Linked DNA regions of Schizosaccharomyces pombe. Changing the gene in region 1 together with any one later gene gives a genetic interaction. Each region holds a gene or a part of one and is shown on either strand. Other genes may lie near its edges.

What was found.
Region 2: mutations in vma1 (region 1) and btn1 are lethal when combined (synthetic lethality), as found in Schizosaccharomyces pombe (one study listed by BioGRID).

Annotation. Positions count from the first base shown.
Region 1 is NC_003424.3:1,645,616-1,656,721, forward strand, and holds vma1 (V-type ATPase V1 domain-containing subunit A), read left to right. Parts: upstream 1-1,602; 5' UTR 1,603-1,643; coding exon 1,644-1,646; intron 1,647-1,701; coding exon 1,702-1,801; intron 1,802-1,843; coding exon 1,844-3,600; 3' UTR 3,601-3,795; downstream 3,796-11,106. Other genes in the region: gid7 (WD repeat-containing protein), read right to left, coding at 1-19; pls1 (phospholipid scramblase), read right to left, coding at 3,997-5,142; mug28 (RNA-binding protein Mug28, implicated in mRNA processing), read left to right, coding at 5,397-5,526, 5,570-5,726, 5,774-6,461, 6,512-7,366; mrp17 (mitochondrial 37S ribosomal protein bS6m), read right to left, coding at 7,673-7,691, 7,741-7,991, 8,109-8,174; UBX domain-containing protein Ubx3, read left to right, coding at 8,669-9,901; methylenetetrahydrofolate reductase Met11, read left to right, coding at 10,624-11,106.
Region 2 is NC_003424.3:2,041,016-2,053,596, reverse strand, and holds btn1 (battenin CLN3 family protein), read left to right. Parts: upstream 1-1,848; 5' UTR 1,849-1,944; coding exon 1,945-3,135; downstream 3,136-12,581. Other genes in the region: protein Mil1, read left to right, coding at 3,437-5,176; SPOM_SPAC607.07C (uncharacterized protein), read left to right, coding at 5,467-5,898; SPOM_SPAC607.06C (metallopeptidase), read left to right, coding at 6,453-6,503, 6,562-8,313, 8,352-8,387; 19S proteasome regulatory subunit Rpn9, read right to left, coding at 8,556-9,588, 9,643-9,755; arg82 (inositol polyphosphate kinase), read right to left, coding at 10,301-11,107; U3 snoRNP-associated protein Snu13, read left to right, coding at 12,134-12,151, 12,302-12,581. UniProt on the Schizosaccharomyces pombe protein: Involved in vacuolar transport and vacuole pH homeostasis. Also required for cytokinesis.

The DNA.
Region 1 (11,106 bases):
ATTTTTCATCCAAAGCCATCTTTTGACGTACGGAACGAATGCTCGTATCTTCCTGCAATGGGCGTTTATTGTTCCTCTGCTCTCCCAATCTCGTCGAGCCTTTACCGTTCCCTAAGTTGGCACACACTTTAGCGATTTCAAATTGTTGTGTTCTTTAAAGAAGATGTTTGATGCCTGTGACAAGGACCTAAAGAGCTTCTTTAAGCCTGTAATGAATATGGTAGAGGTGAAGCAACACCGGTCTTTGCTAATATTATAGTAATGAGAACAGGTAACAAAATGATAAAAATGTGAAGTTGGGTACAACATAAAGCAACAAAAATTTTATGAAAGATTAATTTATTACAAGTTATTTTCTGTTTCCGAATAAATTTTAAGCTAAATTATCTAGCTCTATGTATGGTAGATGGGGATCGGCGCTAGTTAAGCTTCATTTGTTTAAAAGCAACATTAATCTAAGGAGAGGATATCAGAATGCTTGTAGAATCTCGCGCATGTTAATAGTTTCACCTTGCACCATGAGAGAGCTTAAACCATTAAAGCGTCAAAGGAGCTGTAAATTCTACGGTTGCAATTTCAATTAAAGGGCAACTGAATAGGCACGCGATTAGGTCGAAAAACATTTGTAATATATTCCTTTCTGAAATGTTTTTTAAAAAAATGAAATTAACTTCAATGCTTTGGCCGGGAATCGAACCCGGGTCGAATCGATGGCAACGATTCATTATACCACTAAACCACCAAAGCTTATTGATATATTCCCTCTTTCTAATCATTTAGTAGGAGTTACCAGCATATATGCTCACGGTTGCTGTATTAACAATTATGAAAAAAGATATCCTACAAGTCCAATATATATAATAGATCTTTTTACATATTGGTTTTACGTGTCTTCGAATTAAGCTGTAAAGCAATATATTGTTAAAATATACCTACATTTTTAACGCTATTGGATTTAGACTATGTTTACGGGTAATTCAGAGTTTTGCCAATTTCTCAAATGATTTCATTAAGGCCAATACATATTTAATGATTAATTAAAAACTGGAAATGTGAAATCTCTACTCATTAATTTGATATTTAATGCGTGACTTTGTAAAATCTTGGTTTGACACAATTCTGCATCAAACATGCAAAAATTGTAGTTGAAGTCAAATCCTGGTTTTATAATCTTACCGCTGGTTATCTAATTTTAACTATATTAATAATAGGCATCTAATGTGGAGAACACTTGTAATTCACTGCACTTGTTAGCTCCTTTGTAAAGCTCCTGACATTTCTAGCAGGTCACTGTGATATGTGCCAATTTATAATCAATTCCACTTCTGCAAAATATAAAAAAAACTCCATCGGTATGTGTCTACACGAGAATGCACAGATGAATAGATTGAATACAGTGTGAACATTTCACAGCAAACTTAAACCGTAGTGATTACTCATAAATAAATTCCGTTTATTATTTAGCAAGGAATCTTGAATAATTTATTTATTCGCGATTGTTTGGGCTTTGTATTTGTAAAGATCTTTTTACCGATATGACCTACAGGTTATCGTTGTATTGAATGTAGCGTTTCGTTACTGCAACGAAAGTGTTAGACGCCTATCCTTTACCTACTCCACCAGAATAAATATATTATTAGAAGATGGTAAGATAATTAGCTGAATACTTCTAGTCCTCTTTTTTATTAACAAATTTGATAGGCGGGAGGAATTGAACTGGCCAAGAAGGCTATCAGGAGCCTCAAAAATTACGACGAGCATGAAAACCGATATGGATCTATTTTCAGCGTTTCTGGTCCTGGTAAGAAATCGTTAGTTGGAGCTTTCTACTAAACATTTACAGTCGTTGTTGCAGCCAATATGCTTGGATGTTCGATGTACGAACTCGTTCGCGTTGGTCATGAAGAACTAGTTGGTGAAGTAATTCGTATCCATCAAGATAAATGTACTATTCAAGTATACGAAGAGACGTCCGGTCTCACTGTTGGTGATCCTGTCCAACGCACTGGAAAGCCATTATCTGTTGAATTAGGTCCTGGTTTAGCTGAGACTATTTATGATGGTATCCAACGTCCGTTAAAGCAAATTTTCGACAAATCTCAAAGTATTTATATTCCTAGAGGTATTAATACAGAATCACTTAATCGTGAGCATAAGTGGGATTTCACACCAAATAAGGATTTACGCATTGGCGATCATGTATCCGGTGGTGATGTTTTCGGTTCTGTATTTGAAAACTCTCTTTTCAATGATCATAAAATTATGTTACCCCCTAGAGCCCGTGGTACCGTCACATATATTGCTGAAGCTGGATCATACCATGTTGATGAAAAACTTCTTGAAGTCGAGTTTAATGGCAAGAAACATTCTTTTAGTATGTTGCATACTTGGCCTGTCCGTGCTGCTCGTCCAGTTGCGGACAACTTAACTGCTAATCAACCTTTATTGACTGGTCAACGTGTTTTGGATGCGTTATACCCCTGTGTTCAAGGTGGCACTACTGCTATCCCCGGTGCCTTTGGTTGTGGTAAAACAGTTATTTCACAATCTCTTTCTAAGTACTCTAATTCTGATTTGATTGTTTACGTCGGTTGTGGTGAACGTGGAAACGAAATGGCAGAAGTGTTAATGGATTTCCCAGAACTAACAATTGATATTAATGGTAAACCAGAGCCCATTATGAAGCGTACTACATTGGTAGCCAACACTTCTAACATGCCTGTCGCTGCTCGTGAAGCTTCCATTTATACCGGTATTACACTTGCTGAATATTATCGTGATCAAGGTAAGAACGTTTCAATGATGGCTGATTCTACATCTCGTTGGGCTGAAGCTTTGCGTGAAATTTCTGGTCGTTTGGCTGAGATGCCTGCCGATTCTGGTTATCCCGCTTATTTGGGTGCCAAATTGGCTTCTTTTTACGAACGTGCTGGTCGTGCTCGTTGCTTGGGAAGTCCTGACCGTGAAGGAACAGTTTCAATTGTTGGAGCTGTTTCTCCTCCGGGTGGTGATTTTTCTGATCCTGTTACTAGTGCAACCTTGGGAATTGTTCAAGTCTTCTGGGGTTTGGACAAGAAATTGGCCCAACGTAAACACTTTCCCTCAATCAACACCTCTCTTTCCTATTCTAAATACATCAATGCTTTGCAACCTTGGTATGAGGAAAGAGTTCCAGGCTTTAATACTCTTCGTGATCAAATCAAACAGATCATTCAACAAGAAGATTCCATGTTGGAAATTATTCAGTTGGTTGGTAAGTCGGCTCTTTCTGAAACGGATAAAGTTACTTTGGACATAGCCGGTATTATTAAGAATGACTTCTTACAACAAAACGGTTATTCTGATTACGATCGCTGTTGCCCTCTTTACAAGACTTATCATATGATGCGAAACATGATTGCTTACTACACAAAGGCTAAAAGTGCCGTTGAAACTGGTAGCGTTCCTTGGTCAAAGATTAAAGAAAGTACTTCAGATATCTTTTATGAGTTAACCTCGATGAAATTCGAAAACCCTAATGAAGGCGAGAAGGAAATAGTCGAACACTATGAAACTCTGCACAAGAAGATTGAGGACAAGTTTCACACTCTGACTGAGTAATTATTTTTTGAACAACTAAGTTTTTAATTCTAGTTTTTGCTGGCTATAGACTACTAGCTTGATAATACAGACTTCCAGTAAACATTGCTTTCACGTTATCCAAATATATGTCCTAAGTAATTTTGCACATTAAATCGCGAATCAACCGCTTCTCGAAATAATATATTTACACAAATACAAGCCGTCTTCAACAAACTCTTTTGAAGAAATAAATTCAGTGATATAGTCAGTAGTTGTAAATTATGAGAAAAACAAAATAATGACTAGAAGGGATAGTAATAATAATAATAATAATAAAAACAGTAATAGTAATGACTAATCAGATTTAACTTTTTAAGGAGAAAAAGTATCTTTTTGGATATATCGTTAATAAATAAATAATAATCAGTTGAACAATCAATCATCCCCGTCACGGTCAAAAATATCCCAAAAATCTTGCTGATCCAAGTCTGCATCAGACAAAAAAGGAGACTTCGTTTCAGATGAAGAATCATTGGTGGAAGGCGTAGTTTCCTGGTCGTTTTTTAAAATTTCCTGAGCAGACAGGTCTTCAGCTGGATAATCGTGGTTGGAGGAAGAACCTCCAAACATAAACGGAATATTCAGTCCCAGTGCTGGGCCACCATGAATACGGCTAAAATAATCAAAATCAATAGTGACAGCACTGCCTAGCATAACTGCCCTTTCTTCTAAACTCATATCACGTGCACAAACATCATTAGCGATTCCATGAGCAGCTTGAAGCAATTGATTTTCATTTACAGAACCATTGGCTGCACTCGTAGAGGTAAATCGAAGAACGTAATTACCAGTATCAGTAAAAAATTCACGAGGAAGCCCCATGAAATTCCGTGAAACACTACCTAGGATGCGATCCTGCTCGTTTCGCAACAGAAACTCCCAACTTAGCACTCGCTCATCAATTTTGGCAAACTGTTCAAACATAGAACGCTTCGCAAGGAACAATTCATAGCGACGGCGCCATAAATGCCATTTTTGAAGGACTTCGCCAACTAAAGTAGACGAGAACTTACTGTAATCAATAGAATGAATTTGTAACCGGGAGTTTATCCAAGAAAATGGTCGATTGAGTTGTAACACCAACTGGCCGTTACTGTCCATTACATCTGCCTTAAACGCACGATGTGTGTGGAAAAATTGTCTTGATAAACTTGATAATATGGATGAGGCACCCTGTTCTGCAATGTATCCAAGATGCTGACCTTGTTGGTTAAGAATTACATAGCGGTTAGCCTGTTCATAACCAAGAAAAACATTCATCATTTCAAGTTGCCTCTCTACTATAAGAACATCTTGTGATAATAAAGGGGCCGCTGGAGAATTTAATGGAATAGCTCCAGTACTGCTAATGGCAGCAGGCTCTTGAGAGACTACTTTCGCTGTAGCGTCAATGTATCGTGTAGATTTGCTATGATGATAAAGGCGACATCCAAACCGTTTGAGCCCATAAAGCATAGTTAAATGATTACTGGAGACAAAGGTTTGAATTGGAGTAATGTTAGCCCATAGAATTTCAAGCATAGGTTTGAGAAATTAAAATTAGTTTGTGGTTCACCTATACCACAGAGGGTTGCTGAGACAAATATGTAATAAAGGCTGTGTAGTAAGTTTCACAATTTAAAATAGCACATACTATGCGATTACCTTAAAGCTTTACGAAATATAGGATACTACATTAAATTGCTTATGAACAGCTAACATTGCGGTAATTTCCTGTTTACTTTTGTTTACATTGAGAATTCCGAATTCTATAATTACCAACTAGACACATCACAATGATTGCACTTGAAAAACTTTCAGAAAAGAACAAAAGGAGCACTAAGAAGTGTGAAATTTCCATTTACGTAGGGAATTTACCTTCAACGTGCCAAAGCTCAGATCTTCATGAACTGTTTGAACCTTTCGGTAATCGTATATGAATAAACAATTTTTTCTCTAACTGTTTAAGGTAATTTCTCAAAATTCCACATGCTAAGTAGAAAGAAGAATAAGAGTACTGACTCTAAATCCCCAACTTTATTTGCATTTATCACATTTGAAAACAAATGTAGCGCTGACAACGCAATTGCCTCCTTAAACGGGAGTTCGTTCCAAGGAAATACTTTGTACGTAGATTTTAAAATAATAAACGCTAATAGAGCAACAATTATAGGAAGGTCGAGTATACGCATATCGTGGAGAGATACAAAAATAAGTTGGAAAATGGAGTTGACCAAATTCATCACTCGAATAATGAAAAAGCAAAAATTCGGTTTTCAAAAATAGAAAAGTATACAAAGGAAACACGACCGACAGTATCAGAGGTTCGAGTTAGTACCAAAGACAAAAAGGAATATTCGATGAATACCTCAAATTTAGTTCAATCAAACCCCCCAAAAGTGCACGACAAAGAGAATGCATTTGCAGAAGCAACAGGAACTAGTATACTTAGCTCAAAAGCAGTTCAAACACTCTTAGTTTCAGATTTCACGGAGAATGAGCCAAAGCATCTGTCTATCAGGCCAAATTGCAAAGATAATAATACACCGTCCATTTCTAACACTTTTATTGAGCCATATAAGGAAAATAACACGGAACATTTACACCTAAAATCTGCTTTTGAACCCTGTCAAATGATGCCAGGTATGCTTCTAGAACAGAATCCCCAATTTTTGTACGACAACCCTTCTATTTTTGTGATTGGGATTTTAAACCTTCCGTTGAAAGTATCACCAGTCGAGCTTTACAATGAGTTTAGCAATCATGGTCACATTCTCGGTGTAGCCATCAATCAAAGCATAAATGAAGATATGACTCACTACGCAGAAGTGGCTGTGAGCACCTATGAAAGTTGCATAGAGGTATTAAGCAAGCTATTTTTTGCTATAGCATTACTGACCTTTTAATTTAGATCATTGAAAAATTTCACGCCATTGCGTATGAAGGATCCATTTTACAACTTTTTATAAAACAACCTGTTCAGGGATTTTGCTCTAATTTGTTAAATCACCCAGAAGGAACCATGACAAATTTATTGCCCCCAAATATGGAAATGCCTCAGCCGTTTGAAATTCCAGTGATTGCCAAAACTTCTGCTTTGCCAAATCCATTTATTTCATTCCCTTCTTTCCAAACATCGTATGAAACGACAGTAACGCCAACACCAACCTCAACACCGACAATTGATCCTTGTAATTTATTTGTTAAAAACTTGGATGATAATATAGTAGGAAACACACAACAATTAGAAGAACTGTTTTCGAAATTTGGAAGGATAAAATCTTGCACTTTAGCGTCGTATCCCAGTACAGAAATATCCAAAGGCTATGGTTTCGTATCCTTCAGTCATCCATTTGAAGCTGTGCAAGCAATTAACACGTTAAATGGAGTGTTATTCGGAAAGAAAAGATTATTCGTGAATTATGCAGAAAAGAGAGAAGATCGCAAAAAGCGACTGAGTGCTATATTTAGCCAATCTTACCCTCCAGTTGTTCCATCGCCCTCTCTAACAATTCCAATGGCTACTGAACCACAAATTTTAGAGTATCATCAGGAATGGCCTCAACCTCTAATACAATCTATACAGCAGCACGGGTATAGCGATCCTAGACAAACATTACCAACTCGTTTAGATTCATGTGCCGCTAAGCTACGTGAAGCGGTGATTTCAAACGAAAACCTAAACCCAAGCCATAAATTCGGCATAAAACACTCCACATTCAAAACTTCACTATCGCCTTTAACCAACATTGTATTAAACCAATAAATAAAAGCAAGATATGTCTAAAGGACATAATATCAGTACCTGTCGTTTAAATATTTTAACAGTTCTTTTTTTTAATCTATCTCCCATGAAATTTAGGGACATAGTATTATACAAAGAAGATCGGAAAAAGTTGAAACACAAGGAGTCGTTAACAACGGTTGAAATTTCACATTTTAGCTCTGGAAAAGTATGTTTATTTTATAAAAGAAGAAAAGAAGAAAAAACCCCAAAAAAACAAGAATAATAAAAGATAATTGGACAGCTCTGCGAATATTTTTATTTTCTCAAAATATGAATACGCTCATTCTACATTAAATCACTCAATCTACACAAAAGGAATTAGTATAATAAAATAGTTTATAAAAAGAACATACTTATCTGCTTTTTTGACGATCATATAGCGAAGAACCGAAGGTTCAAGTCTCAGAATCCTCTGTATCTCAGATTGAACTGTGGGGTTACTGTAAAAGGTCATAGACCACCAGTGACCAAAAGAGTAAGATTGATTTAGTTTTTTTATAGGTTTAGCCAGTTCCTTAAGTCCCATGGACTCAACATCAACGACCACACCTTTGTTATCCAGGATTGCTCGACCACAATTTTTGGCAATATTCATGGCCAGAGTCTAAATTTATTAGTTCATGAATTCAAATTGTAAAACAGTATCTAGAAAGTAATGAGATAATGACTATCGCTTTGTGGTTCTTCAAAAAGCAAAAACGAGGTATTACCGCTAACTTACTGGTGAGGAAGTGCGTGTTGCATTTGCAGCTGGCCTAGTTATACAAAAAAGTTCATACATAACCATTATATTGCTATACTTTTCAAACTATCAAGAGTGCTTGTTATCGTGTGACCTTTTTACTAGCGTCTGTAAGTGAGAGGTTTGGCGGTACGCTAGGAAAAGAAGAGGTTTGAGTTAAGCACTAAAAACTTCTGTTTCGTAAATTACAGTCTAAAAAGAAAAGAATATATTAACATTAAAGTAAATATAAAGCAAACGTAAAGGAGAAAAACACGAAACGTTTGGGTCGTATATTTGTTACTTAACTTATTTAGCAAGATTCTCTTTATTAGATGAACGTGAAATTTACCAACTACAAGCAGTTACCAACAAAGGATATTTACAGCTATTAGCAGTATATCATCAAAGAAATCTTGATTTTTTTTGAAAGAAGATTGATCGAAAGAGTCAAACACGTTTTAGTCATCAATTGACTTCACATTTCTACTTGTTTGTTCTACAGCTAAAAAAAACACTACAGAACTTGAAATCTTTCTTCTCTTTTTTTCAGAAGTAAAATGGATAGGGAAGATATCTTAAAGGAATTTTGCAATCGCAATAATATTGACGTTAGTCAGGGCCGTTTTTTTTTAGAGTCCACGAATTGGAATTATGAATTGGCTACTGCACTTTTACATGAAGTAATACCTCCTGAAGAAGACCATGGGTTGCAACCTTCCAGTGATGTATCGAAAGTTCCTGAAGTTACTGGAAGCTCAAGTGGAATCAGTGGTGGTGATCAACAACCACCTCGACCGTTGCAAAGACAACAAAATACTCAAGGCCAAGGAATGAAGTCAGGAACTGCATCAAAAAAATTCGCCACGCTTAGGGATTTAGAGGGAAATGATGAAAGTGCAGAAGAGAAATCACATCTCTTTACTGGTGGTGAGAAGAGTGGGCTTTCTGTAGAAGACGGTGATCCTGATCCAAAGAAACAGTTGGTGCGCGATATTCTCGAAAAGGCACGTCAACACACAATATCTCCTTTAGATGAGCAAGATTCAGGTCCTTCTAGTCTTGCATCGTCTTGGGCTAGTGTCGGACAACGATTAGGCACAGAAAATGAGGCTTCTGGTTCGACCACTCCTGTAACGCAGTCAGGTCCTCCGCGTGAAAATCCTCCTACTGAGAGTCAACCAGAAAAGCCTTTACGTCGTACTTTGTACTTTTGGCGAAATGGTTTTAGTGTAGACGATGGTCCTATCTATACATATGACGATCCCGCTAATCAAGAAATGTTGCGTTATATAAATAGCGGTCGAGCACCTTTGCATCTTCTAGGAGTATCTATGAATCAACCAATTGATGTTGTAGTTCAGCATCGGATGGATGAGGATTATGTAGCGCCGTTCAAACCTTTTTCAGGCAAGGGACAACGTCTCGGTTCTACCTACATGCAACCACGAATGTCTCAAATGCCAGGTGGTCTTTACACTGATACTTCTACTTCTTCCTCTGTTCCTATAAATGTCAAACCCAATTCAACAACTCCGCATGCATCTTTACAGATTGACGAAAATAAACCCACCACGAGAATTCAAGTACGCTTATCAAATGGTGGAAGAACTGTCCTTACTGTCAATCTCTCGCATACACTTCATGATATCTATGAAGCTGTACGCGCCGTTTCACCAGGCAACTTCATCCTTTCCGTACCTTTCCCCGCAAAGACTCTCGAAGATGATCCGTCTGTCACTGTTGAAGCTGCTTCATTAAAAAATGCCTCACTTGTTCAAAAATCTCTGTAGTCTAAAAATAATAGGAAAAATAGTGATCCCCAGTTGACATAAGAGCCGTGGATTATTATATGAACATATGTGAGAGCTATTGAATATGGGAAGCATATTTCGGGTTGTCAGAAATCTGATTTCTATTTCTGAAAGGAAACCTTTTATTTATTTAATGATGTCCTATTAAATCATCAAAACAATTTCCAAGTTTGAGTATTTTATTGGTTATATCAGGATATGTAGCTCAGAGATAGTTGAAAACCGGAATTAAAAGTTATCACTATTATGGTTATTAATAAACATCTGTAGTTACCAAAGGACCTTTTTGAAAACATTGATTTTAAAAGAAATGCTATGATATGCTATCAACGTGGCACTAAGTATTAGCAAATTGACCTAAGATATACATAAACAAAAACTATTATTCATGAATGTAATTCCCATCAAACAATAATTAATGTTGGAGTTTGAAATATCAACCAACTTTTCTGCGCAAATACGTTTAGTCTTTACTGTTCAGTAAACCTTGACACAAGCAGTTAAGCATTGCAGCAAAGTCTGCTATTGTTTAGTGTAGTACTAATTTATGGGTTATTGTATTTATAGTGATGTTAACCAAAATTTGTAAGAAATCGTTACTACATCGAATCCATGATTTGATTCAACTTATCGCGAAGAGGGCATTTCCTAAGCGCACACCTCAAATACCTTCAATTTTGCTTCGATATCCCTAAGCAATCATGAAGATTGTTGATTTGATTGATAAAATTCCTAATGGAAACGCATTCTACTCATTTGAGTATTTTCCACCGAAAACCACAGTCGGTTTGGAAAATCTTTCTAGTCGTATAACGAGAATGTCGCGAAACATGATGCCATTATTTTCTAGTGTAACATGGGGTACAGCTGGTTCTACTGCGGAGGTCTCAATTTATTTAGCCAAAATGCTAGAGCAGCATCACAAAATCCCAGCTTGTTTACATTTGACGTGTACCAATGTAGATAAAGCCATAATCGATAAGGCTCTCGAAACTGCTAAGGAATATGGAATTCGTAACATCTTGGCCTTGCGAGGTGACCCGCCTTTAAATAGCGATCATTGGGAAGGAAAGGTTAGTGAGTTTGAGCACGCGGTGGATTTAGTACGATACATACGTGAAAAATATGGAGATTACTTTTGTATAGGTGTCGCTGCTTATCCTGAAGGTCATGTCGATTCCAAC
Region 2 (12,581 bases), 400 kb from region 1:
CAGTAATGATATTTGACAAAAATCAATCGGTAAAGAAAAGAAAGTTCGTACTAAAGGCTCTATATATACAAAAAAAATGCTGCTTTAAATATCACTCAAACCGAAACAATCGACTCTGTAAACAAACAGAAAAACAGTGCTTATTCGACAAAACATTCAAAAGTGTGGGGAAACTTTTATTAATCAGTTTCTTACTGGTTTAAACAAAATATAACAAGGCTGAGCAAAAAAAATAGGAGTCAAAGGCTTTACCAAAAGCTTGATGCGAGTGTTAACTCATTGAAGCGCACATCGTCCATCTTTTTTACTTGATGATCTACACATGATCATCTCTAACAATGAGGGAAGTTTTGCATTCAGATTATATGAGTTGTTTATACAAGTCGCATATGAACATTCTGAAACGAGGGTACGGAAATGATGGAATATACTTTAATAGTTTAAAGAGAGTTAAAATGAGTGCATCATCATATCTGGTATGCATTTTCGATTACAGGGAGAGGGTGGTACTGTAAAATTACCATTTTACAGCACGAAAACTCCTTTTGTTTATCAGTAGATTAAAAGGATACTCTCATTAGTAAGTTTAGTGGATTAAATAGTATTAACAGCATGTGCTTAAAAAATGTTGAAACATGTCGATGGCACTGTGATCGCATAATAATTCATTATGCTCATTGAAGTTAATATAAAACCAAAGGAAATCTAAGAGATTATAAGTCTCTTAGCTTTACTTAAAAGAGATTCTAAAATTCAAACTCTAAAGTGCGTCTGCAAACAGCTGTTTGCTGTAGCTGCTGGATTTATGAACCATGGTGAGGTGCGATTTGTAAACTAGAGAATGATAGCGAAACGCTCGTTAAAACGCCAATATCGCACTTTCTATGGACAGTATTATAAATTTGTAGTACAGCATCAAGCATAATATAATTCCCAGTAACTAACATAATGATCCCATTACTGTTAAATGTAATGTGTTATGGGTCAAAGCAAACAAGGCAAATTTGATAATGAACGAGATGATTTTTCGGTTCGGTTTCCAATTCGTTATTATAAACAGTCGTAACGGAGCGTCAAACCTTCATTTAGTAAAAAAAAAAAAAAAAAATTGACTAAGCAATACGAAATATCTATAGTAGATACATGCGTATTACTATTTTATATTATTGTTGAGCAAAGTGATAATGCAATAACGATGTTAACCGTAGTTCGGTAAAGACACATTCATACGATATTATATTCAATTTGTTTTGATTTACGATTTAGAGTTTTTAAACATAAGCAAACGAAGATCGGAATTAAACCAAAATAAATCTCGTGCCAAAAACAATAACTTCATAAGTAGAAGCTGTAGACACGTGAATAGAATATTTAAAGATGTTGTAATTGTTTTCCTGGGAGATTTCAAGAAGTGCTAACCGAAGCATGAGTAAACTAGGAGCTTTTCGATCACAGCAAGCAAGGCATGTCAGTTACTAGTCGTTGAAATTTTAGTAGGGTAAGCTTTAGCTTGATAGCGGTTGCTTGGAAAAAACAGTGTAACATTCAAAATCGGTTTCTTTTGAACCTGACAACATTACCGTAATAATTCAATCGCTCAATACGCCATTCGTGAAGGGTAGTAGCCTTTCTCTTACGAAGTTACTAAAAACTCAATTTTTTTTGTACCCTTAAGCGCTTACGAGTTCTTTTCTTCAACTTATTGCTACTCGAATAATAAATGTTAAACATATCTCGACTTGCTTTTCAGTTCGTTGATCCTCGCTATTTACAGTTTGTAACAAGTTAACTCGTCTATGAAGTCATCGATAGAAGGGCTTTAAAGTGTGCTATTTGCGAAACAACAGCAAATTTGTAGACTAGCACTTTACAAAAGTCTACTATCGTATTGCCGGTTCAAACTAAAATTTATGACCTCAGTTTCTACTAAATATAGTACGAATCATGATTAAATTGAGGTTAACAAAAGATGCGAAAGTAGGGTGTTGCTTCCTAATTTTTGGATTGTTAAACAACCTTCTCTACGTGATAATTTTATCCGCTGCCTTAGATTTGGTTGGCGCAAACGTTTCTAAGGGTGTGGTACTACTTTCTAATATTGTTCCTTCTTTGGCGTGCAAGTTGTCAGCATCAATTCTTCATGTTCATAAATTTAAGTTTGCAAAGAGAATCGGTTTTTGTGTTTTCATGTCCATATTAGGAATGCAATGGATTGCTTGGTCTTCCTCCGTCCCTTCGAAAATGCTTGGTGTATCTCTGGCAGCCATTTCATCGAGTTTTGGCGAAATCTCTTTCTTGCATCTATCAAGTCGTTATCACTCTGTGTCTTTACCGTGCTGGAGTTCCGGAACAGGCTTGGCCGGTCTCTTTGGTGCATCTTCCTATTTGGTTATGACTACATGGTTTAACTTCTCGGTACGCAGCACACTTATTATCTCTAGCTTTCTGCCGCTTTTCCTTTTGATCATGTACTTTTTTGTGTTGCCAGAGTCTGAATCTACATCACCTTCAATTAACAACAATTATACGCCAATTGAATCTATTGATCTTCGAGCAGGGCACGTTTCATTCAATTTCGTTAATTCTTTGAAGCAAACATTCATATTCATGCAACCATACCTTCTTAGTCATATGTTTCCGCAGTTCCTTGTATACTTCTCAGAATATACTATCAATATTGGTGTAGCTCCCACTCTTTTATTCCCGCCCGAAAAAGCTGGCTTTTCTTCGTTTAGGGATTTTTATCCTACTTACCAAACTGTTTACCAGATTGGTGTTTTCCTATCGCGATCCTCCATTTCATTTTTTACTGTCCCATATTTGCGCACATTGGCAATAACACAGTTCATTATCCTTCTATTTACTATACTACAGTCGGCCCTATATCTTACTTCCAGCTATCATTTTGTACTATTCCTCATATTCGTTGAGGGTCTTATTGGTGGTACCGTTTATGTGAACGTGTATCATAGTTTGCAGACTACGGAGAGTAGTCAGCGTGAACTAGCTATTAGTACTGTTGGCTCTTCAGATAGCTCTGGAATTTTTTTAGCTTCATTGGTATCACTATTCCTTGAACCCTCCTTGTGCCATTTCCAAGCTGATCGTGGCCGAGATTGGTGTGCCTTAACTTGAAATAGTGAGTGCGCACATCTCCATTATATTGAGAGTTAACCTATGACGTTTCTTCCATTAGTGTGCTAAGTGCTTCAATATCAAGTTTGCTTTACGACCATTTTCTTTCAACTATTGTTTACTTTTTTAGTTCTTAATAGGTTTGCTTTGAAAGAAGAAGTTTTTCATTCCTAATTCCTGATACCAGAAGTTCTTAAACTTTTGGTGCACAATTACTTTCTGCTGTGCATTCTATGCGAATCATATCAAAACATACATTACTTAATTTTTTCCTTTTCATATCTTCCTTCTTTTAGATAATATGGCAGAACAGAAAATCATATCCTTATTTGACGATGATGCTTGTACTCGTTATACAATTTTAATTGCTAGTACAATTGGTGAAATGCGAGAGAAGAAAGAGTCAATAATCGATAACACGGATCCTGAAATAGTAAAATATCTTTCTCAATTATTGGACGTCTTTAGAGAAAACTTCGACACTTGGGCAATGGCAGTTGTAAATCGCACAGGTTGCGCACTGGATCCCTCTACTCCAAAGGATCAAGTAGAAGTAAAAAAATTTCGGCAGTTTTCCGAAACAGAGAAAAGCGAGTGCTTTATTAAATGTCTACTGTTATTGATTCTTTCATTGGGTAATTATTCTCCTTATTCCCGTAATTTATTATATAGTATTGCAGAGAAGTTGGGCTTGTCCTCTATCGTGGTTTATAAGGCTGAGCTTATCACCTCTTCTATGCTTTTAGATACTTTTCAAACTATGGAAAGCAATCAAGAAATGTATGAACTTTCGGGCACCCGAAAAATGAGAAGACGGATTGCAATGGGTCTCGCTGGACTGGCAGGTGGAGCTCTTATTGGGTTAACAGGTGGACTAGCTGCACCTTTTGTTGCAGCTGGGTTAGGGACGTTATTTGCTGGTCTAGGTTTGGGAACTATGATTGGAGCAACCTATCTTGGCACTTTGATTACTTCGGCACCAATGATCACTGCTCTGTTTGGAGGCTTTGGAGCCAAAATGAGTATGCAACAGATGGGGGATGTATCTAAGGGACTCACTGATTTTGAATTCATACCTCTCAGTGTGCAATCGCATTTACCGGTTACCATTGGAATCTCAGGATGGCTTGGGGATTATAACGAAGTAGACGCTGCTTGGAAATCTTTAACTGTTGGAGATAAAAGTTATTATTGGGGAGACATATATGCTTTGAAATTTGAAGTTGAAGCTTTAGTTGATCTTGGAAAATCTCTTTCCAGAATCTTATTTTCTGCTGGACTTGGCTGGGTAAAGGGAGAGGTTATTAGTAGAACGATATTAGCTCCTCTTGCTGCTGCTTTATGGCCTTTATCACTTTTGAAAGTCGGAAATATTTTAGGCAATTCCTGGAGAATTGCATTTAATTTATCCATCAAAGCCGGTGAAGCTTTAGCCAATGCGCTTTGTGTTAGAGCTCAGGGTATGCGTCCAGTGACTTTAATTGGGTTTTCGCTTGGTGCACGTACAATTCTTGAGTGTTTACTACATTTGGCTGACCGTGGTGAGACGAATCTAGTTGAAAATGTGATAGTAATGGGCGCCCCTATGCCGACTGACGCTAAGTTATGGCTTAAAATGAGATGCGTTGTCGCTGGGAGATTCGTAAATGTCTATTCTGCTTCTGATTATGTACTACAATTAGTGTATCGTGTCAACAGTGCGCAATCTACGGCTGCTGGTCTTGGACCAGTTTCTCTTGATTCAAATACTTTAGAAAATGTCGATGTGGGGGATCTTGTTGAAGGTCATTTGCAGTATAGATGGTTGGTTGCCAAAATTTTGAAAGAACGTCTTGGGTATGATAACATTTCTGATGCTGAGATTCAATCGCTTGCAGTACAGGAAGAAAAATACGAATCGAAGCAAAGAACCTATTATTCTCAAAAAGAGCAAGAAGAGGAAATTGAGCAAGAAGTACTTTTTGACGCCTCTAGCGATACTGAGTTAGCTATACAGAAGAAAGAAGATGAGGTGAATGAGGTACGAGAAAATAAAAAGTGAGGAAAAAAATTCAAAATGTTTAACATCATTGAATTACACGAAAACATGTTTTATTATATTTTGTTTTAATGATAATAACGGACTCCCAAATTTGCGTTAAATTGTTATAAGGACATTCAAGGGAAATTTGATCTTTAAAGCACCTCATTACTCTCTTTTGGATTTTGCACCATCTTGCGTACTTAATTTTGTTGTATTGTACCCCAAGTTTCTTCTTTCTAATTTTCAAACGTTGAAAGAAAATTTTATGAAAACTGTTTGAAAAATTCTTTTAGATAAATTGGTTCATCATGGGGACGTTTGGCATTGTAGCATTGTCAATTATATGCTCGATTGCTTTCTTATTTGTTGCATATGGTGTCTTACGACTAATTAATTCTATTCGGAGAAGAAATATGATGACAGCTGATGTTAGTTCTGTAAAGTCTTCTCAAACCTGGAACTTTCTGAAGAACCCTTTTTCCAATTCCGCTAAGTTTGAAGCCTTGGATGCAGACGACATGTGGGATACAAGGGTTGAAGAAGCAGAGCTTAATACTATTCCTTCTGCTTCTCCATTTATAGATCACACATCAGAGACAGTACCTTTTGTAAATACCGAAGCCCCTCCTCCCAGACTGTCTTCATCTTTCTCACGACAAAGTGGTGAAAATGCAGAGACTCAAAGTCAAGTATCCGCATCTCCATTCAATGACAAAAACTCTCCATATGTACAAGAATAAAGCGATTAAGTTCTTAAACCTAGTCCTCTTTTTTAGGCCGGTGTATCTATCGTCATGCGTACATATTTGATACTAAGGACGTGCTTTGATCCTGAAAGTATCGCTTTTACTCTGCTAGATTTTTCTGTAAATCTTGAGCCATAACATACACAATCATCGTTTAATAAGTTTTGCACTCCTCTTTTTCTAAATATTTATTTACAATCATTAAAATAAATAATCCATTAATTCATTGTACTTATATAAGTCTTCAATAGTTAATTTGGACGTCTACTGTCTCCGTAAAGCATACAAAAGTTTATTATTCAGCTAGAATTTTAAATAATTATTGGTCTCTCAGTATACCCACTGCCAAAGACTCAATCAACCGATGCTGTAATTTTATTGTTCAAAAAACGCGATTATATTATGTTTTGTATTTTATATGATGTCGTGTATATTAAATTTATAAATTTGAATAAATATGTAAATAATTTATATGTTTTGTGACATTAGTCTAAGTCAATTCGAAATAAATATAGAATGTACTGCACACGCGTTTGTCAAGAGCCAGCATGAGTCAGATCATTTTAGACAATATATCCCAAAACGAAACTGTATACAATGTACGAGTGTTTTCAATGTTATTTTCATAATTGTACTAATATAGATGCCTAATTTTAGAGATTTGTTATTATACATGGTAGAGTTGGACCTCGTGCAAGTTATTGCCCACAAACAATCAATGTGAAGCATCACGAAAATTCATTTCCAGAACAAACATGGGTAGTTACAGACTTATATTTTAAAGCTATCATTCACGTCGTTCCCGGAGACAATACCATACTATTTACTACGGACGATGGAGGTAAACTAGAATTGCAGGTTTATTACCAATTACTTGTTGATAATCCTTTCTATTGTATCGCCTTTATAGTTGGAAAAGACTCAGACCTTTCATTTGATGCACCTCACGGTGCCAAAAATGATATTGATGAGGGCATCCGTAAACTCAGATGCGCTGCTTACTTATGGCAAGCTTTCACCGCTGAATGTATGTATAGAAATGGTTATGGAAGACGTTCTTTTAGAATTGAGGAAAGTGTGCAACCCGACACAATGTCTTGTTTGTCCCCTTGGGGCACCGAAAGGTTAACAGCCACTATAAATATTCTGCGAAGTGATAAAACAGCAGAAGAGATTCGATCGGTTCCTCCAGATCAATTGTTTCATATAGCTGGAGATGCTGTCGACAAACTACATCTTCCTGAGCCTTGGCATTATATGTGCATGTTCTTGGATACACGATATGATCCTTCTACTCAAAAAATTCGTGGACATGTAGCTTTAGGTGGAGGTACAGACATGCACAAACTTGGAGTGTTTGGTTCCCATTCGTTACATTCTTTTCCTAGTGCACTTGAGTATGTTGTACCTGTCTTTAGTGATGCCCGTAGAATCCCTTCTTACTTGGCAAATGATGCAAATGAAAGTTCTACGATTTGGGAATGTGCGAATATAGGGATAGGCGCTATGCTTCATGAGTTAGGACATACACTTGGTTGTCCTCATCAACCAGATGGAATCATGTTGCGATCATATCCAATATTTAACCGCAGTTTTACGACAAGAGAATTTGAATGTGTTAGAACTGGAAGTAAAGGTCTTGCCCCAGTGCTTGCAAAAGATGAATGTTCTTGGCACCATCTTGACATGTTAAGGTTTTTTTATCATCCGTGCTTTAAACTACCTTCAGACCCTACATATCCGTCGGACATTGAAACGAACTACTTTGTTAAAGGAGAAACTATCACATTTGTCAATTCGACTGGAATCTTTTTAATTGAAATTGAATACAATGGACAGACCAAGGGCTGGAAGGAGTTTAATCCTCCAGTCGGAGAAGCTTCTTTAACTGATGCTGAAATACGCTCTCTTTCAAATGCAAGCTCCAATCAAGATTATCGTGTTCGCGTTCTATCCAGAAATTTCAAATGTATTGATTTAAACAATGTACCTGAAATTATAAAAAATGCGAAGGTTGAATCGTCTTTTGGAACTGTTTATCGATCTGAAAGATATGGTTTGCGAGGTTGTAATGGGAAAGAGTTATCAAATATTTTAATAGCACCTGAAAAGTTTAAGCCTACTAAAATTCGTGTTCATTGTGGTTTAGCTTTGGATGGAATTGAAGTATTTTTTGGTGATGAATCAGTTCTTCTTGGTAACCGTGGTGGAAGCCCTCACGATTTTGAAATACAAGGCTCCCAAATTGTAGGCTTTCAAATACGTTGTGGAGCCTGGGTGGATGGGATATCCATTGTTTTAGAAAATGGTAAAACAAGTCCATTTTATGGAAATGCTAACGGGGGTGGGTTGAAAAGCTATTTAGTCCCAAAAGGTTTTCAATTAGTCGGGTTTTATGGCACATTAGGGGTAAGTTTTTTTTTATATTATTGATCTAACATTAATAGCCATTCATGGATTCAATTGGGTTTTTTATTAAGTAGCTTGAATTCTGAATACTAATTGAATACAATTGCTTAAGGAGAATGAAATTACGTACCATGTTTACAACTAATAAAATTACTACACTGAAATGTATAATAATGTATAGAAAAATAGTTCTATTTACTTTATAGCATGTCTTGTCTTTTAAACAATGAGTTTTGTAGTCATCAAACGAAAACACCTTTTCCAGAAATTTCAACCACATTAGAAAGGTTCTTAATATTTTGGTTCCATTCTCGTAGACGAGATTCCATGCTTGCAATTTGCGAGTGATTTAAAATTCTAGATTGGACGGAAGAAATGGTGACAATTTGGGTAACCTCATCTATAACACCTGTTATAAGCCCTACGCTTAAAGCACGCATAATGAGTAACTCAACTTCATTAGAAGGAATACGGGTTGCACGAGCAATTGTATCAAATGTTAAAGTACGCTGATTTGGAGGTAATTGGAAGACCAACTCAATGAGGGCCATTAAACGAATTTTTTGACCTAGTAAAGCAACCGAACTTTGCAGTAAAGGCATTTTGTTAATTTGCCCCATTAAGCGTTCAAACAAAGGTAAATCTCCGACATTCATGGCGATGACTAAATCATGTAACCACTCGTGCTGTGTACCTACTAGCAACTCGAAAACAGGATGTAATAATAATTCACCAAAATTATAAATATCACCGAGTATTGCGGCAACACTTAGATCCACCGCTCTTTCAACTAACTCGGTATGAGAGCATTTATCGAGGTCGATGCAAGATAAATACAATAGACAATGACGATAGTATTGAGCATAATCAGCCTTTGCCTTGTAGTAGTCTGCACTGACGCTATAATATGAAGAATGAATAAGACTTTCTACGTAATCAATGTGGTCGATAATTTTTGAGGCTTTGACAAGTAGTTCCCGGGCTTCATCCAACTTACCACTAATCAGCTTGATGCGAGCAATGGCAACAATGGAATATACATAGGCATCTTTATATTTCTCTTCATCCAATTCGTTAACAATTTGGTTTAAATTACGAAGGGCTTCGTCGTTAGAACATGACTCAAAAGCCTTTAAGCCCATGTACACTGCTTTGAGTTGATTGATATTAGGTCGAAATGAGTTGACAAAGTTCGTATACAAAGGAAGCCTTAAAGGTACTGTTTCTGGGGTATCAAAGAAAACAATCAAAGCATCTGTAAGTTGTTTCCATAATCTGGCGTCAGTTAATGTAAAGTTCATTTTCTTCTAAAGCACTTTTACAACATACTTCCTTTCATAAAGGTCTTCCATTAAAATATAGGATTGCTGAAGGCTTTCTGGAGCTCTTGTAGCTTGATCGTGTAAAAAATCAGACATATTGACAGACATTTCGGTATCCATGATGAAATCCTTCGTGGAGTAGTTGTTTGCTGATGGCAAGTGCTCAAGTCATATTACTACTGTTTGAAACTTTAGGTAAATGGAGAAATATAAGCATATTTATTTTATTTTCATTATGTTAGTTAAAATTATTATTAAAAAAAAAGTTAAAGCGTATTTGAAAGCATATAAGTAAAGCATGCTTTAGTAACCTCTATGAAAACAACGCAAGGTATAAAGCAAACTTCTATAAGTAAACGAACTATTTTATTAAGAGAAAACTGACTGTTTTTTAAGTAGTTCGTTTGTGGAATAAGATCTTTATCTTACCAAAAATAAAAAGGGTAGATAACCTTTCTGAAAATTTTCATAAAATAAACGAAGAATAAAAATTATTTTCTTTTCTATAACAAATCAATACTTCACGATCACTCAAAAAAATAAATAAGGTATCATTTTTATAATAGTTATAGTGGAATACTATACAGATAAATTAATTAGCTTTAACCAGCAATGATTAAAAAAATTACTTTTCTTTTAAAGGAATTTATCATGTCAGTATTCAATTATTCATTCTTCAGGAGCATCGCAAAACAGTGAATTAAGTTTTTAACCCCAATTAATGTGTTATGGTCTATAGTGTTTTTCGTCCATCTAGAATGTGCCAAATCTATCAGCTTGAGAACTACATTGCTTTCACAATGATACGTTGGATTTAGGGAAGAGTAATCATAAACGAAAAGAATACTAGAAGATTTTAATTCAATATAAGACTCAGAAAGATCAACTTCAAATAATTTCAATAAATTAAGGAAGCTTTCAACCAACCTTGCTTTTTGAGAAAGAGAGCAAGAGACAAAAAAATCATTTAAGCCTTCTACGACATCTGAATCCGTAAGGGTTTTACCCCAAGCTGTTGATCGTTTAATGTACGTATTGTTTGTTCTGTCCCACGACAATATACCAGTTATACGAAATCCAAGACTACCACTCGTCGTACTTCTGGAAACGGCATCTAATCTTTTTCGTTTTTCAAGAGGAGCGTCATCGGCCCACAACTGTTTTCCTAATTTGATATCCATGACACAAGGAGTTTCCATCTGATACAGAATATTTTCTAAGATTATAGCTTTTCCAGTTAAGGAAAAAGCAACACTTTCTGCGATCGGGTTGATACCCTCAATGTCTCTACTAGAAGGCATCCACTCACCGAAATTCTTAGGAATCCAGTTGTAGAGCGTAATATTGTCGTTACATGTTTTATAAAAATCAACTTCACTTTTAATGCATGGCTTAATTAGAATTTTATCATCCTCACTGACTAGTACTTGGCCATGACCAGCAGCTTGAAATGGAAACAGTTTTAGTTTCATCAAGAGTTAAAGAAAAAATCCGCTAGTACATGTTTTTTCGTCAAAAGTATATTTCTTGAAAATTGCAATACGCGTTTAGCAATATGCTGAAGCGTTATTTTCGATGTGACAGCTGTTGGGTAAGCGGAATGTAGAATGAATTGAAATAGTGTAGAGCTATATCAACCACTTCCACTGCTTGCACGAACATGCAGGTTATATGAGCTGAATAAATAAGTGTAAAATTTTATCTAATAATATAAAACAATGAATTTCCTAAACACATATCCAAATGTGTATGTACTCGCTGTTAATTTATTCAGCTTTTTTTACAGTAGATAAAGTTGTAGCCTGGAGATCGAAGTATGAATTTAACAGAAAGTATAAACTTTTTTGGATATTATTTAGAAAGTGTTTTGCAAAGTTTTTATAAATTATAATATTATTAAAAACCTATATTCCAAACCACTAAGGGAAAATATTTTAGCTAAATTACAATTTACACACTTTCAATAGTATGTACCAGGGCTTTTTTTTTTTTTTTTTTTTTTTTTTTTTTTTTAGGACAAATTATATGTACTTTGCTAAAATTTAAAAGTTAAATAGTAGATTATTAGCAACTTCTTTTTTGCTAAGTCCATAGACTATATAACAATACAGCTCTCAATCAGATATGCAGTTCCAACTTTTTTTAATGTTATTATATTCTGTTAAATATGGTAAACAATGTCCAATTGAAGAATGCCTGCTCAATAGAAATAAACTCACCAATCTGATTTATAGTTTTGAGTCCTCCATATTCATAGTGTAATGCCAAGAAACAATTAAGATTATTAATGTGCATAAATTTCTTAGAATTCCAAATTTAAGCAAATTTGGATTAATTTTCCAAGTTACATTGATCGAAGGATCGACTAACGTTGATGTTGTTACTTGTACTTTTGGACTACAGCTAAAGTGAAGTTTACTAAAGAAAATTTCTTAGCAAGGGCGAGCAACCACCATTGTAGGTCAGATACTACTTTTTACAGCAAGGAACCCGAAAAAATGTCAGTTAACCCAAAGGTATGTTAATAATGGTATAAGACTTCTTCTTTGGCTACGAAATAGCTGAAAGCATGCTAGTTTCAAATGCTAGTTTCGTCGGCAATTTTATTACGGAAAATGAACTTTTCCGAAATTTATATTCGTTTTATTGCATACTAACATTGTTAGGCCTTTCCTTTAGCCGATTCTGGCTTAACCCAACAAATTCTCGACTTGGTACAACAGGCCTCTCATTACAAGCAGCTTCGCAAAGGTGCAAATGAGGCTACCAAAACCTTGAACCGTGGTATTAGTGAATTTATAGTAATGGCGGCTGATACCGAGCCCATAGAGATTTTATTGCATCTGCCATTGCTTTGTGAGGACAAGAATGTGCCTTATGTTTTTGTTCCTAGCAAGGCTGCTTTGGGACGTGCTTGTGGTGTAAGTAGACCGGTGATTTCAGCCA